3 linked regions of the Schizosaccharomyces pombe genome follow. The protein of the gene in region 3 interacts with the protein of the main gene of each other region in a pairwise test. Each region holds a gene or a part of one and is shown on either strand. Other genes may lie near its edges.

Region 1 (5,220 bases), on a different chromosome or scaffold from region 3:
TATCCATCAGAGTGGGAGAAGATTGATTTGAAGGTGTTTGACGATTTGGAAACTACCGAAGGGCTCCTTTCTAGTTACTGTAGTAATGAATGGAATAGAGAAGTCTATCATCCACTATATGCTCTTGGTATAACGGCATCCCTTCTTCATTCGAATCAGCAGGTTTCTAACATTCAAGTTATTGTACAACAAAACTTCCTCGGTATGATAGTAATGGGGCTTTCTCTTTTTAAAGAAGAAGCACGCTTTGCTTGTCTTAATTTCCTACGAAATTTTATACCCATTCTGGACGAACAAAAATTTAGAGAAAAGCATTTAATTAAACTAGTACTTGCTAGTATAATTGTGAATGTACCTTCTTCAGAAAATCGGTTGAGCACGTTAATGGCTAACTTTTATGCTTTCAGCTTGACCGTCATGATGAAACCGACACATCCATTATTTGTAGGAATTAATCGTTATTACCTGCAACGTCAACATGTTGATGTTACAGATATACCGATGTACTATGAATTACTTTATCCATCAACAGATTACACCAAAAGTGTTTACTGGCTACTGACTCTATTACATGCTGGTTTACAAACAAATCAGGATTTAAAAATATATCTTCGACGACACGTATTTGAAATGATATGTACTTTATACAACTCATGTGTAGTCAACAGTGAAATCCGAACACTAATCGAAAAAATATTGCTCAAGGTTGTGGCATTGGGAGGAGGCCCAATGTTGGTTAAATACAATGCAATATACCCTATGCTACAAATGGTCATACCAAGTTTTCAAGAAACAAAGGAAAATACCGTAGTATCGACCACGTAAAAAGGGAAAAGAGAATAAAAGAAAAAATTTTTGGCTGCTAAAATTTAGCTAACTAAAATTATGGGATTTGCGGGGTTGAAAGGTTAGAGAAGGAAATAATAATTCATTAATAGCGGCACGATGATAACTTGTAATTTCGTATCTCGACTAAAATTCTAATAAATGTAAAAATATCTGCGATTGAGTTGACATTCGTAGAACGCGCACATCGTATGAAAAATTTGTTGTTCAAGAAAAAAAGATGAAGTCAAGGGAAGGAAGAGAAGTTTCATGCACATAAAAATTTAGAGACCATATCTAATGGCCATTTCATTTTGATAAGTCATTTCCAAAGGAATAGGGGCAGCATATATGTCGGTTTCGTCTAGGACAGCCTCACGATTGGCAAGAATATCTAAATGAAAGTTTGCAGATCCTCCTAAAGCCAAAGGACGAGAGCTCTATGCTTGAGTCAGTAAAACTAAAGAAAAAAAAAGAGGGGGAAGATATAAGTGCAACAATAAGTAAATATAGCACTATATTAGTCTATACATTAATAACCTACCTGTGAAGCGAGTTTCTGTTCCATTTCACGACGCACAGGCTCATGCAAACCGTAAATTCTACGCATGCTATCAAGGCGAATTTGTTGCTGTTGAGCCTCCCAATTCTTTAATCGACTTTCTAGAGGATGTTTATTTTCAACACGGTGTACAGCTGGAATGCTGGGCTCTAAAACTGAGACTTTGAAGTTTCCAGATACTTCAGCAGCTGGTTCGACGTCAGGAACAATCTTCATTATAAATCTGTGAGATCCTTCAATTCTCTACTTTGTCGAGTATATGTGGTTTAGGATGAGTTTCTACAATAGTGAATCCTCTCTCGTAAGCCTATCGTTACCTTGCATCTATGTTACCTGTTACGACTAAGATTGAAGTGTTTTACCCTTACTATGGAGGACATACTAAGCTTGCATGCGATTACTAGCAAGATGGAGCCAACTTAACCACTACCACCATATTAAAATAACACAAAAAACCATCACAATTGGTATTAACTCGTTCCAAAAAAGGCGATAAGATGTCGCAGGTTATTCAATATTCAGAAGCAGATTTGCTATATCTATCAAAATCGCCGCTCATAAAAAAACCAGAAAATCTGCCTGAATGGATTCTGTAAGTTAGGGATGCTAAATAATCTTGGTTGATGAAAACACCTTCGAGAACCAAAGTATGGAATATTGGCTAACGTTTTACAGTCCGGAGGCTATGAAGGCAGATCGTGAACGGCACATTCGCCAAGAAAAGGAAATGAAAAGGTAGGGCAGAAATATGAATACTGTGAATTTCGCGACACAAATTGATTTTAGTTCTTTATTTGCACTTCATAAGTTCTTTAGAGATTTTATACTAACAAATTTTTGTATAGACATGATGATGATGGACGACAATATCAGTCAGATCGTAAATTCGCTAAATCAAGTAAGTCATTTTGTTTACTATTTTCTGTCGACTGTTAACATAAAAAATTGTCTGTATTGACTATGAATCCTTACAATGCACGTTCAAAAAGATGCGGCAAAAATGTCATATGGTTGTTTACTACAGGATTGATTATAATGTGAATCCATTCTACCTTTTTCTGCATCAGATATGAGGTCGATGTGGAATTCGTGTTTTTGACGTTGCTTCCTTGACATTGTCGATAGATTCCGTCTCTTTGTTGAAATCCTTACTAACGTTTCTAGAACACGACGATATTATTCTTGGGCCACCGAAACTTAGTTTTGCTAGCAGTAATGAGAATGGCAGGTCTGTCGGTCGCCATGATGATTTGCTTTCTTTGGGAAATGTGTATAACGGTGTAGCCTCTCTCCGTTATCGAAATGGCGCTTCTGTATCGCGGTCGTCATCCATTGGTCATTCCGGTTCTACTGCACCATGGAGTAGTGTAGGACGACATAATCGCAAGAAAGACAATGAACATCGTGATGAGATGGAGGGGCTTGAGAAGGTGATGAAACAAAGGGCTGGTAATACTGGCCCACTTGTTGCAAATTCTACTGAGGAATTTGAAGCATGGAAGCGTATGATGAAGGCATCCTCTGGAGAAGCTGGAGCAGGTAATGTTATAACACCCGGCGTCACTTCCACCACTGGAGCCCCTTCAGGAAAAGCTTCGCTTTCTAGAGCTGCCTCTAATTCTTCAACCTCTGCTAGAGCTGGCATTAGTGTTGATTCTCTGTTTGGAAAACGCTCCGCTGCCCAAGCGATGGCTACTGTCGTACCCTCTGTCAGTACACCTGGTGGTACCCCTCCTCGCTTTGCTTCTCCGGCCCTTACAGTTGAATCCATGGTACATGCCGCACCCAGCACAACCACTTCTTCGAGGTTTAGCAAGTTTTTTAACGGACTGGCTGGCCCTGAAACTTCTAAGACTTCTACACCAAATATGTCAAATAACCCATCTCCTCGAGTTGCAAATACCGTTGTTTCTCCTGCTCCTATTCCTACTATAGGTTCTGCTACAATTGACAAAGACGCCGAAGGATTTCAACGCGTCTTAGCTATGCTTGGCAGACAAGCATCAAGCACGACAGGCTCTCCTAAGGTTGCTTTGTCACAAATGCCTCAAGTTAATGTCAACCCTTCCAATCAAGACCTTGCCTCGGTAAAGCAACCTTCTGGGTTTTCACCTCCGTCTGCAGTTGCTCCTCCTCCTGGTTTAGGTAATCACAACTTTTCTAATGATGATTCTTCCTTCTTTCGATCTCTTATGACTTCTGATACTCGATCAGTCCCTCCGCCTCCCGGCTTTTCTACGAATGCTCCTAAAGCAGTTAAATCTCCGGAAATTTCAGCCCCTCCAGGTTTGTACCGTGGTCTGTCCTCTGGAGCTTCTATTCCATCGGCACCCCCAGGTTTCGGATATCAACAACCATCTTTCCCATATTCCCCTGGATTTCCTCCATCTGCTTATAATCAAAATCGAACTGGTTATGGATTTCCAGATACTTCTAGACCACCACATTAAAAAACAGTGTCCTTAGCACGACGGTGTGATGAAGTTTCTCATTTGACTATAGTAGTGGGTGTGTATGCATGTATGCTCTGCGCAGTTGTTATTCCGTCTGCAATGTCGGTAAACTCCTTAACATAGACTTTGCTTTATGATTTCTGATATAAACCGGAGACCTTTGAACGATTTTTCCTTGTTTTAGGAATTTTTAATATGTGAATTAATTAGTACATATGGCTTTTTTTAGAATCTCCTTGTGGTTTTCAGAATATACTGCAACATCGTCATTTGATGAATGGATACTGCGTAAAATGGGACAGAAGGATTTTTAATTAACCGTTTATGAAGATAATTTTTAGGAGTCGTTAGGTCAGTTTATAAAATAGGATTAATCGGATGTTTTAGTTCATGAGTCTAAAGTATGTGATTAAGATGAGTATTTTGGTTATACGCAGTTTTGGGAACTTGTGTCATACCAAGGTATAGACAAAACAGTTCATGATAGATAGAACTAAAAAAATTCCACTTCTCAAAAGTATTATAAATGTTAAAGCATGGATCTGATCAATTGTTTGGCTAGCTGCTGGAATTTTGGTTGCTGCTAATCTACAGTCATTGGTTTCCCGGCAATGTTTTACTAAAATTTTTGTGAACATGTGTTTTTATGGATGTGTGCTCTTTAAAAAATTACATCTTTTCGAGAATCAATGTGTTGAAAACTTAGTTCTTTACGAGAATTCTACTCTAGCCAAACTGTTATCTTTTGGATATACGAACTAGAGAAAGCATCTCTAAATTTTTAGACAAAGTGATACTGCTAGCCGAAAAATAATGAAAGGTTGTTTTTCACGTTTATGTTTGTAATTAATGCGTACTAATCAAATCACATTTTCCTAATGTTTAGATGTGAGATTGGGGTTTTTGTAGGAATATATATTATTTTCTTAATTCATATTTATTTTTTTAATAATTGGCTTCACTTTGACTAAGCGTCATAAAAGAGATGGTATTTTCAACCGATAGAATAAAAGAGTTGTTTAAATGGGAATATACATCGCTAGATCTTTTCCAGTATATTTTTTACAAAGTGCAAAACTATCTTCAAAGTAATATGAAAACATATAAGTGATAAGGCGTATTGCAAGGATTACAATTATTTTTGGACATTTACACCTATGAATTTGGGTAAATCTATGTATGAATCAAACAAACTATAGACAGCAGAGATAAAGGCTCTATAAATGCACCCACGTTTACTCCTATTAATCTTATAAAATTTTAGCACAGAATTAATTGTGTAAAGTGATAATTAAGGCAGGATTGAAAGTTGCGTTTCGACAAAAAAAAATATATATTTATATATAAGTGTGTATAACTCGTAAACCAAGAATGTTAGAT
Region 2 (5,719 bases), 1.4 Mb from region 3:
TTTCCTCAAGCGAAAGTCACTGTCACTAAAAAAGCAGATTCCCTTTTTCCCATCGTGAGTTTAGCTTCTATCTGTGCTAAAGTTACTAGAGATATTCAACTGGAATGCGCTCGTGAAAGTATTCGAACTGAGAACTGGGGTTCTGGATATTCTTCTGACGCTCGAACTACCGAGTGGTTAAAAGTAAATGTCGATAAAATTTTCGGATGGAAGGGAGACATAGTTAGATATTCATGGAAAACCGCTAAGGATTTACTAGAATTACCTTCCAAATCACAGTCTTCGATTGAAATAGATTGGCACGAAGATGACGATACTCCTACTTTGAACTTTACACAGAAAAAGAAACCGAATCCGGCTTCTCGTTCGTGGTTTGGATCAGAGTTTTATTTTTAGTTTAGTTACTATACTCTGTCACTACTTTTGCCTAAGACTAATTGTGAGAGTGATACGAATTTACATTTATGCTTAAAATCATTAATTGCATTGCTTCGTGCTTTTGGAGCTACGTAGAAAACCTTTATTAGCATTTGGTTATAGATAAAAATAATATAAATTTATTGTTCTATTTACCCCAGGCTTCTGCTCTGTTTATTGAGTTTGGTTTAGCACCAACAATAATATAACGACTTGTTAAAGTTCGCTATTATAAAAATTAGGTGGTCTTCTTTTACTTCTCAGTCCGATTTTAGACTACTACCAAATACCGCTTTGTTGTGGAATCTCGTTTTTTTTTTGCATAGATACCCAATTTGATCAAATATGGCTGGCATGAGACTTATTTTAGTTGGACCTCCAGGTGCTGGAAAAGGCACTCAGGCCCCCAACATTCAGAAGAAATATGGCATCGCCCATCTTGCTACTGGTGACATGTTGCGCTCTCAAGTAGCTCGTCAAACTGAGCTCGGTAAAGAAGCTAAGAAGATCATGGATCAGGGTGGTCTTGTCAGCGATGACATTGTCACTGGTATGATCAAGGATGAGATCCTCAACAATCCTGAGTGCAAGAACGGCTTCATCCTGGACGGTTTCCCCCGTACTGTCGTCCAAGCTGAAAAGCTTACCGCTCTTCTTGATGAACTCAAACTTGACTTGAATACTGTCCTTGAGTTACAAGTTGATGATGAACTTTTGGTCAGACGTATCACTGGTCGTCTCGTCCATCCCGGATCTGGCCGTAGCTACCACTTGGAATTTAATCCTCCTAAAGTTCCTATGAAAGACGATGTTACTGGCGAGCCTCTTATCCAACGTTCCGATGATAACGCCGATGCTTTGCGCAAGCGTTTGGTCACTTATCACGAACAAACTACTCCTGTCGTTGAGTTTTACAAAAAGAAGGGTAAATGGGCTGCTGTTGATGCTGCTCAAAAACCTGAGCAAGTTTGGGAGCAGATCGTTGCTATTCTTGAGAAGGCTGAGTAAGTATTTTTTTTAGGTTAGAGCTGAAGGGCCCCTTTCTTTTTCAATTACTTAGATATTTTTGCCTAGTGTTCGTAGGATATAAATATAGAATATTCTGAACCCAAAAGTTTTCGGTAAACTGTTTAGTTTGCTATACTACTATAAGCAGTATGTAAAACTCATATTTTAGCTGATTATATAGAAATATTTTTTGTATGTACATGATTCAAATTTATTGCTAAAATCCGAAAGCTCGAGAAAAATGAGGTTAAAACAAAACTCACTTGCTTTCTTGTTTAATAACTTTAGAAGACATTGAATCCATTGAATCGTCTCTCTCTTTGCGTTTACCAAGTGCTTGAAGGATACTTTGAATATCAATGCCTTGTAACAAATTTTGAACATCAGGTTGAGAGTCCTTCGAAGCGTCACCCGTAGCATTTTTAATATTAGACGAAACAGCTGCTTCCGCTAAATTTTGTGTACTAGTATTTGTGTTTGAATGTTTGTTTTCTGACGGGCGTACTTCTTGCAAACAAGTCGCATGAAATATACGGCCTTCCTCTTCGACTGCATTCATAAAGACCCAAACTTCAGCTTCCTCATGCCAAACACTTTGGAATTTTTCTTGACATATTGGACAAGGCTCGGACGCAGCAATTGGATCTAAGGGTGTCAATACATATTGTGACCTAACGGATTCCATTTGCTTTTGACGCTGTTCTTCGATTTCCTGAGCAGTCTCTGTAATTAAATCTTCCTCTTCTTTGCTATTGACCCATTCTTCCTCCATCACAAACCAACAGCGATTAATCCCATGAAGGCTACTTTCACGAATTCTCTTATTGATCCGAAAATGCCAATCTGAATGTTTGTCCAACTCCTTTCTACTTTCAGGATCATTTCCATAACGCCTACCACAGTTTGCGCATTGGTTAGAATAATTCTCATATAACAAAGAAGATAGCTTGGGCCGAGGAGTAGCGAGCGAAGATTTAGAAAGGTCAATGTCTGCTGTTAGAGACACAGCTTCAGTACAAGAAGCTTGTGGACCTTGAGACTTACCACCAGCAGATGGCGGAACCAACCCTGCAGCTTGCAGATTAGCAAAAAGAGAATCTATACTAGACGATTCTTCAGGCGTTAACGCGTTCGCGTTGTATAAGGATGCCGGCGGCCCTGAAGATAACGAATACTTGTGACTTTGAGGACCTGGATGGACATATGAATGAGTGAGTGGAGGTTGCGAAGATACAGAAGCCGAATACGCAGAAGGAATTGTAGGAATGGTAGATGGAATAGAAGGTTTCATAAAAGGAGTCGAAGAAATAGATGATAATGCAGAAGGCACGGAGGGAGCAGACGTAGCAACAGAACTCGTTGAAGGAGAAGCCGGCTTCTCTAATTGTGCCAGCTGGTTTTTTATAGCCAGCAATTGGTCATAAGGTAGTGCGGAAGAAGACAGCACATTTTTGAGTTGTAATAGTATTTCAAACCGCTTTTTAGCCATGTTGTCATAAGGATTTTTAATAAATCTAGCTTGTTCTGTAACAATCATTCGGTTAACATCAGATAAAAGAGAGTCCAGTGTAATAAATCCAGGAGAAGGACTGGTGCCCGAAATATGCTGAAAGCCAAATGGAACAGAAGGTAAAGACGGTTTGTACGAAGATGCCGGATCGGAAAATGAGGAGTAGGAGTTAATATTAGCGTCAATAGGAGCAGAAAATGATGAAATTGAAGTATTAGCAAGTAAAGGGCTCTGATGTCTCAAAATTGTTGATTTGTATTTTAGTAATGCGTTTTCAATTTTTGCTGTAACTATGGGGGAAAATACGGGCTCCAAAGAACTTGAATTCGGTGGACGTTGTTTCCAAGTAGCTAATAATTGATCCAGTTTTAAGCGCAGACGGGGTTCTACTACGGTGTATGCACTCATAAATGTCGAAAAAAGATGAAGGCCAAAAAAATAAGTATAAGGAGCTCCTAAATTCTTAGAAATAGAATCTAAAAGGTAAAGCGCTGGAAGTTTACAGTTAGGTGGGCACTGTAAATAAGAGTTAGCACATATGTTTCAATCAAGGTTAAATCATACTTTTTGGATATGTTTTTCAATGGCGTTCACGATGCTAATAGCATAAGGCTCATTCTCCTGCGCGATATAAGTAAGAGTATGGATGATAGGTTTACTGTTAAACGTTAAATCTTCTAATGCACTTAAGTAATCCAATTCCACTAAATCCATTTTCTTCTCTTTTCTGAGTTTAGGATAATGTAAAGCTAAACAAATCTAGCTATAGTCAAGTATGATAAATTATCTAACCGATACTGTCAAAACCAAAGTTTTCTTTTCTCAAAAATATCTTTTAAAACAAAATATTGTACACAATGATAAAATATTTACTTTTTAAACACACACACGCAGACTACAAAACAAAATTGTAATCGTGAGAGTCTCAAAAAACTAAGGATAATAGAAAACACCCGATATATTAGTACTGGGATATTTTCAATGCATCAGTATCCTTTTTCAATAAAAGGAAACTCTTTCTTTTAAAGAGAAGTCTATGGGACAAGGCAGCGTTGCTCGTAAGGAAGTTATTCGTATGTGATACATCTAATAGGTTATGTATTGTGTGTATATCATTCTCAGATTACAAAATATGGTGAAGCGTGCTAATGCAAATAGCGTATTTAAATTTACCCATTAATGTATTAACCTTTTTATAGTACTATTTAAAGTTATGGACGAGAATATTAACTTATAACTTATTAGCTTTTTTTTTTATAACAGTTTCGGCATGCATGGTTTATGGATTATCTGTAAATATACCTCAACATAATTTTAGAAAGTTTACGATTCAAAGAAACTCGTACTCTATTAAGGTGAATCTGATAGTAATTCTTGTCGGGACGTGATATTAAAGATCTAAAAGTAATGGAACCGATAATATAAAACACAAATTAAATGTTTTTTTAGTAAATTACTTTCAATTGTATGAATCATTCTTGAAGTAAAGTCTAACTTGAGTTTTTATATCTAAGAAGGCTGCATACAAAAGGAAAAGTTAAGTATATACATATTATTCTAAATCAATTTATCAATATATTATGAAAACTATCAAAGGAAGTATTGGCTCGTTGTATGCAAGGGAACGTGAAGAATGTTGGTGGTTTGTTTACTTAAAAAGTGTAAACAAAAGTTCCAATCCCTTAATCAGAATTCGCCCAAAGCATATTTTTTGTCCAGGCAAGGGAAGTTGGATAATTCTCTTTTGATCTCAGTAAGTCTTTTTAATTAATTTAGTTTTGCATTTAGGTTTTACTGTTTGATTTTTCTGCCTTTTAAAAGAGCATACCCAAAGTATGCAGAGAGACGAGGAAAGACCCATTGACTTTGGAATGTCTTTAGAACTCCCAAAAACACCAAATGATGTAAACTATGTTAAAAAATTGATTACTCAAATTCTTTATCTCCAAACTCTCGTTTCGGAGCAGCAAAAAAAGATTGAGTCATCTACTCTAGAGGTCCAGAAGAAGAAGGATCAAATAAGAGAATTAGAAAGGATTTATGAGATGAATCCAAAAAGTTTCCTAACTCTTCGACGAACGCCAGCGCTTAAGTTACTTCCTGAGACTTTGTCTGTAGAGCTATCTAATGAAGTAAATCTGACTTCGTCAACCACTTCTTCCTGCGTAAAGCCTTCTCCCTATCTTACAAATTGTAATCTAAAAAACAAGGACACATTTCCCGTTAGCAAAAATAATTGCTCTTTGTCTTCTGGAATTTTTACAAACAGCAATGGCACCAACAATTGTTTTTCGACTCATCCAAAATCCTTGGATGACGCAAAAGACAATGTGGTTCCTAAAAAATTAAATGATACCGATCAGTTTCCTTTATGGAGTAAAAATGAAACAATCGACCCGATAGATCTCGGTTATTCTTTTATTTCGCCGTTCTCAATGTCATTTGCAAGCAAGGGTAATGAAATTTTGGATCCAGGAGAGTCAACAAATAAAAATCTATTTTATGAATTTCCTAATGGAACAACCGAGCCGTTTGAAAAAAACTCTGTGCATTCTGGCAAAGAGACTTTACAGTACAGCGCAACCATAAGCAAATGGAAGGTAAGTCTTTCTTCAAATTTAAGCTTCATAATGTAATTGAAATTCCCTTTCGCTAATGATTCTTTTTTTAGGCTATGATAGAGCAAATTATCTTTCAAAATGATCAGGCAGCCTCACTATCTCTGCAACAGCAACTTAAGAATGAGGATATTGAGGATAATATTAATCTCATTAACACTATTCT
Region 3 (5,286 bases):
AAAAGTAATGACACGTTGGGGTCCATTGCTTGCAAAACTGACATTTAGCCATGAAGAGCAAGTTGACAACGTATTAACGCTGCAGAAGTACTGTGTCCGTTTGAGTATGACTCGGCACTTTTTACAACTTTTGGGATATTTCTACCAATTAGAAATTGCTGAAGAGAATGCCATTCAAGAATGGTATTCTGATCCCCGCTCTAGCGAAGGAGAATTGGCTGCGCTTCGTGATGCCGGTGGCAAACAATTTGTCGACTGGTTGAATACTGCTGAAAGTGAAAGCGAGAGTGAAGAAGGGTCAGAATAATAGTTCCCTTACAAATCCTGAACTCTGACTTAAAACAGTGTTATGAAAGTGGTTTCTGTCTACTCAAAAAAAAAGGGTCACTCATAATTTAGCTGGCTATTATTTTCTAGCAAATAATAATACGATAGAGAAGAAAAATAAAATTTTGGTCTACAGGGCGCGTTGTTAAAATCCAGCACTATTCTGTTAATTACACGCATAGTTATTTACGATAATATCAGTTGGACGAATTCAATATTTTTAGCTGAAATGTAAGAAATACAACAAGCGAATGAAGATAATATAATTTGAGCAAACCGAAGAAAATAGTGGCTAAAATACAATGCAAAAACTGAAAAGTTATATTGATTATGTCTCTTCTGTACATGTTTCTAGTTGTAGTTGATATGAAAGACAATTCCGACACTGTTTGGAATTTGTGGAATTTAAACAACTAGTCATGGGATATGAAAAGCCTTTCTTCGAAAAGAAAGCCTTAACTTGAACCCCAAAGAGAACATAGATACATAGACCAAAGATTAAACCTTTAACTAAATCAAACAGAAGTGATAGATAGTTTTTTATATAAAACAAAAGTAAAAGAGACCTGATAGTAAAAATAAGAAATATATAACATTAAGACTTTTCCATCAATGTGGATGCTGTAAGTCTGCTTGAATGGGATCCTGTAACATCTGTTGAGGATACATAGGAGCATCATTCTCTAAGTAAAATGTCACAGGAGCCTTATCGTCTTTAGCTTCTTTCGTGGAGGGAACATCAGACATATTAATTGAGTTATCCGCTTGTAAAAGATTCAAAAGTTGCTTTTTTAAAAGTTGAAGTAGAGTCAACTTTGTAAATGGCTTAACTAATAGATCTGTTACACCATGATTAAAGTAGGTAACTGCATCATTCATCGATATATTTGAAGTTATAGCCAAAATCGGTGTGTTATGATCGTATTGACGAATTAAACAGGTTACAGACAGTCCATCCAAATTAGGAAGTATAAAGTCCATTAAGATGAGATCGAATCCACCAGCATTAGCTTTATTTACGGCACCAATTCCATCGACAGCTACATCGACCTGGCAATCAAATGAAGTTAAAAATTTGATAGTCATTCTACGAGAAAGTTCATCATCTTCGACAAGTAAAATCCTTGGTTGCCGCTTCCACAAGCCAGTAGTTGGAACAGCAGCGCCCATTTGAGACATGGACGTTGCTACTGAACTAGCTTTGGCAAGGGAATCGTTTGAAATTTGAGAAAATGACTTTGCCATGGAAGCATTGGAGTCAAGATGGGTGGTAAAGCTTCCTGGATTTGGATGCTGAATCGGTTGAAATTTTTCGTACATCGGATATGAGCCATGGGCGTGTGGATTCAAAGAATGGTCATTAGATGATAAAGGGGTATTTAGAGAGGCGGCAGAGGCCATGGAGTCTGCCGGCTTTTCCTGATTTGCCAGTTCATAATCAGATGAAGGAGTATTATACAAAGAAGGTTGTGCTGTGCCAAGATTGGTGTCAACAGTCATCTTTGAAGAAGCGGTAGTAGCAGCGGAAGCCTGTTGAATTTGATTTGGTATCTGTTGTGGAGAAGTAGTTGCAACTTGGCCCTTCGCTAACGCTTGGTATGCATTTAATAACTCCTGGAGAGGATGAGAGGGAACAAACATGGCTCCGGGATTAGCTTGCCGTTGAGTAGATCCCTCTAAATCGCAGAGGTAAGATATGATGCTACTCATAAGCAAATCTCTAGACTCAATCCCCCGCTTGAGTTCAAACATTTTAAGAAGTATCGTTTGGTAACTTGTGGCAAGACCCGAAAGATTTCTATCAAGTAATTTTTGAAAGTCTAATATAGAATCCACCTGCTGTTTTAGGTTTTCAATAACTGGAGCAGTGTTCTCGTTAGCTAAATTGCGCTTGGACGGAGCCTTTCGCTTAATATTGTCGAGCAGGTCCTTATGATGAAGCTGAAAGTCGTCATGACGAAACTCCCAAGCCTAAAGAAGAGAATGATTAGTATAATAGAAATTCTAAAAGGAGGGATGGCTTTTTTACAAGTATGATGGAATGAAGACAAGTTTGTTTCTCAAACCTATTCAACAAGTATGAAGCCCCTAAATCCTTAACCCATATGACATACCCCTTCACCATATATACTCGGCGCGCCTTCTTCGTGCCGTACTTTGTGAAAATCATATCTAGACGATTAGCAAGTGTAAAAAAAAAATAAATAAATAAAAATATCTCATACTTGTTGAGTTGTCGGACAAAACTTGCAAAGTTACTATGTTTGAAGTGGCGAGGCAGAATGGTCTTTGTAAACTCGTTGGTCTAAAAAGCAGTAAGTTAGTGATAAACTCAGGGAAACAAAGGGGAAAGGGGAAAAAGGAATTTTGAATGCGGAAAAGTAGATTAGAGTGACAAAGAAAGGAGAAAAATGCAAACGTAAGAGAAAAAAAAACATAAGACTAGAAGAATAGCTAGTCAAAAGCCAAAGTTTAAAAAGAAGGTAAGGCCTAAAAATAAAATTGGTCTCTAAGAGATGTAAAAACTATTACTCAAAAAAGATGATGACAAGGAATAAGTCTGTTCGAAAAAATCGAGATGCAATGCGAAAAAAAAGGACAAAGTACTAGGGTATGGAAACAAAGCAAATTCGACGACTCAGGTTTACGGGCAAACTGGACGTTTTTCAGCGTAACATTGGTAATACTAAAAAGAAAACAACGAATAGAATTGTTTTATTTCAAAAAGAAAAGCGATTTTTGTAATAAAACAACCCGATTGTTGCGATAGGAATCTCTTGCTGCCTCAAAAGATTCCTTTCCCATCATTGTCAATCCTTTTTAATTCAAGTTGTAATCAGAAAGAAAAAGGAAACAAATCAAGAATAGTAAAAAAATTATTTTTTAGCAAACCTTCAAAAAAAATCTCCCCTCTTTTACTAGCTTTTCGAGGATAAACAATAAAAGTAGAATGCTTTCTCTGGTTAAATAACAACAATGGCGGCGATAAATATAATGATAACTCATTCTTCCTTTCTTCTCTCTTTTACATCCAGCAAACAAATTTTCAAGGATTTCTTACATCCAACACAATAAAAGAATCCCCAGAATCGCTCCAGCGCAGGATATGCCTATATTCGGGTTCTTCCAACATGTTGAAGAGTTTTCGCACCTAATTCAACAACGTTAGTATGAGAAAACATAGTTTTATCACGAAACGTGAAATTTTATAATTATAAAAAATTCATCGGAAAAAGGAACCAACATACAAAGTCGGAGGATCCGTTCGAAGACGGCATCTTCTCGTTTAATATATGACCAAACGGTCGTATTTACAAAAAATCTTCACCTTTTCAACAATGTTGTTGGTTGTTGGAGAGTTGCAAATTTTGAGGTGTGGTGGATATGACACCCTCGAGGCTTCCATGTGGCTATTTGCCGATGCTCACAAGGGCGTGTTAGCTTACGCAACGTTGGTTAAACGATGAACGGCAGGAGATCGGCAATGCAAATTCGACATATTTTTTAACGTTAATTGCAGCAAAAACTTCTCAATTAATGAACCCTCAAAAACAATGCGAAACCCGCATATTACTGTCTTTTTCACTACCCTCCAGAAAAGGGATCTTTCGTACTGATCTCTCTCCTTTACGGTGCTTGATTTGACTTGATGATGCTGTTCACCGATTGCGAAACGTTGCAAAGTTAAATCTAGTATAGTGCATACCATCGTACTGCATTATCCCAAACTCTTCCTGAACCGGCTAAAGCGCGCGGGGCTCCCTAGGCAGTCATCATCGCAGACGTAACGACCGTCCCACATACGTTTGTGCAAGCGTGCTGTGGGCACAGCAAGAATAAACACATGGGATGGATGACACAGTAATAAGGCTGAGTTGCTGCGGTTCTTGGTAGTGTATCGATGGTGCATGCGTGGAGTATGTAGAGCAAAAGGATCACTATGCGATATTTCCTTGGTATAAACGCTGACACGGGATTTTTTAAAAAGCATTTTTTTTTCGATCGTTTACGTTTCCTTTATTTTTTTTATTGGAATCCACTGTGCAATATGCTCGTTGAACCATTCAGAAAAGAGATGCTCTTTATGCATTCAACACAATTGACCTTGCTATAAGAATATCCAGCAGACGCTCTTACTTTGAATGCTCAAGTGTGTGTGCTGCGGTCTACCTTTGTGTACAGTAGTTTCAACGTTAAAGGACAAGTGATTAGCTATGGGAGCTTATCGCATATTATAAAAATGCATTGGAATTTGGGAATACACACCCAACTTTGTGTACCCACTACACCTTGCAGTGGATGATGATTTTTTTGTCAACATCGTGTGATGCCGGACCAGACAAAACTTTTGACGCATACAGATCGACCAGCAAAAGCGGAAATTGCCTGTTAAAAAGCACCGAATGACAAAGTTTGAATAAACGACGCCAGGACATTGATGGACGAGTCCCTTTTTCTATGAAAAGGAAAGCGAAATAAACCGATTCCTCACTTGCTGATTGTACTCAATTAAACGAGGCTTTTACATTATCAACAAAGGGAAACAAAATAAGAATTGAGAAAGAAAAAGAAGTCCCCTGATTCATTAGAAATGACCCCTGATCCCTTGGCTCGGTTTTCGAACAAGAGAATAGATACATGTTATGCTTATTTGAAATGCTTCATAAGATTATATAAACGAAATAAATATTCTCATAGAATCCCATTATAAAGTATTCATCCTTAGAATACGTAGTTATTGGATTAGAAGACAATGTATTGATTCGTTAAATATCTTTTGCATCAAAAAATTTCTCCGCTCGTAAAATTATAAAAAAGATGGCGAGCGATACGATAAGTGCAGAGATAAGGGTATGACGCTATTAGTGCTGACTCAGCTCCGCGGTTTATTATTACACTGGCAATAGCAATAGCAATAGCAATAGCATTACATCCATGACAGATTTAACATAGCAAGGA

What was found.
Region 1: the proteins of prr1 (region 3) and eap1 interact in a two-hybrid assay, tested with the Schizosaccharomyces pombe proteins (one large-scale study listed by BioGRID).
Region 2: the proteins of prr1 (region 3) and pcf11 interact in a two-hybrid assay, tested with the Schizosaccharomyces pombe proteins (one large-scale study listed by BioGRID).

The regions. Positions count from the first base shown.
Region 1 is NC_003421.2:746,928-752,147, forward strand, and holds eap1 (eIF4E-associated protein Eap1), read left to right. Parts: upstream 1-1,803; 5' UTR 1,804-1,884; coding exon 1,885-1,979; intron 1,980-2,027; exon of another isoform or gene 2,028-2,062; coding exon 2,063-2,122; exon of another isoform or gene 2,123-2,232; coding exon 2,233-2,285; intron 2,286-2,364; exon of another isoform or gene 2,365-2,551; coding exon 2,552-3,837; 3' UTR 3,838-4,716; downstream 4,717-5,220. Other genes in the region: ribosome biogenesis protein Urb1, read left to right, coding at 1-825; proteasome maturation factor Ump1, read right to left, coding at 1,110-1,265, 1,370-1,603.
Region 2 is NC_003424.3:2,255,173-2,260,891, forward strand, and holds pcf11 (cleavage and polyadenylation specificity factor), read right to left. Parts: upstream 4,015-5,719; 5' UTR 3,650-4,014; coding exon 3,500-3,649; intron 3,452-3,499; coding exon 1,685-3,451; 3' UTR 1,426-1,684; coding exon of another isoform or gene 763-1,425; 3' UTR 505-762; downstream 1-504. Other genes in the region: ribonuclease H2 complex subunit Rnh201, read left to right, coding at 1-396; adenylate kinase Adk1, read left to right, coding at 763-1,425; mpf1 (meiotic PUF family protein 1), read left to right, coding at 4,771-5,535, 5,607-5,719.
Region 3 is NC_003424.3:3,664,326-3,669,611, reverse strand, and holds prr1 (stress-responsive DNA-binding transcription factor Prr1), read right to left. Parts: upstream 3,681-5,286; 5' UTR 3,606-3,680; coding exon 3,576-3,605; intron 3,479-3,575; coding exon 3,389-3,478; intron 2,633-3,388; coding exon 2,553-2,632; intron 2,500-2,552; coding exon 2,442-2,499; intron 2,299-2,441; coding exon 937-2,298; 3' UTR 525-936; downstream 1-524. Other genes in the region: translation initiation factor eIF2B epsilon subunit tif225, read left to right, coding at 1-307. UniProt on the Schizosaccharomyces pombe protein: Involved in oxidative stress. Transcription factor that acts upon trr1 and ctt1.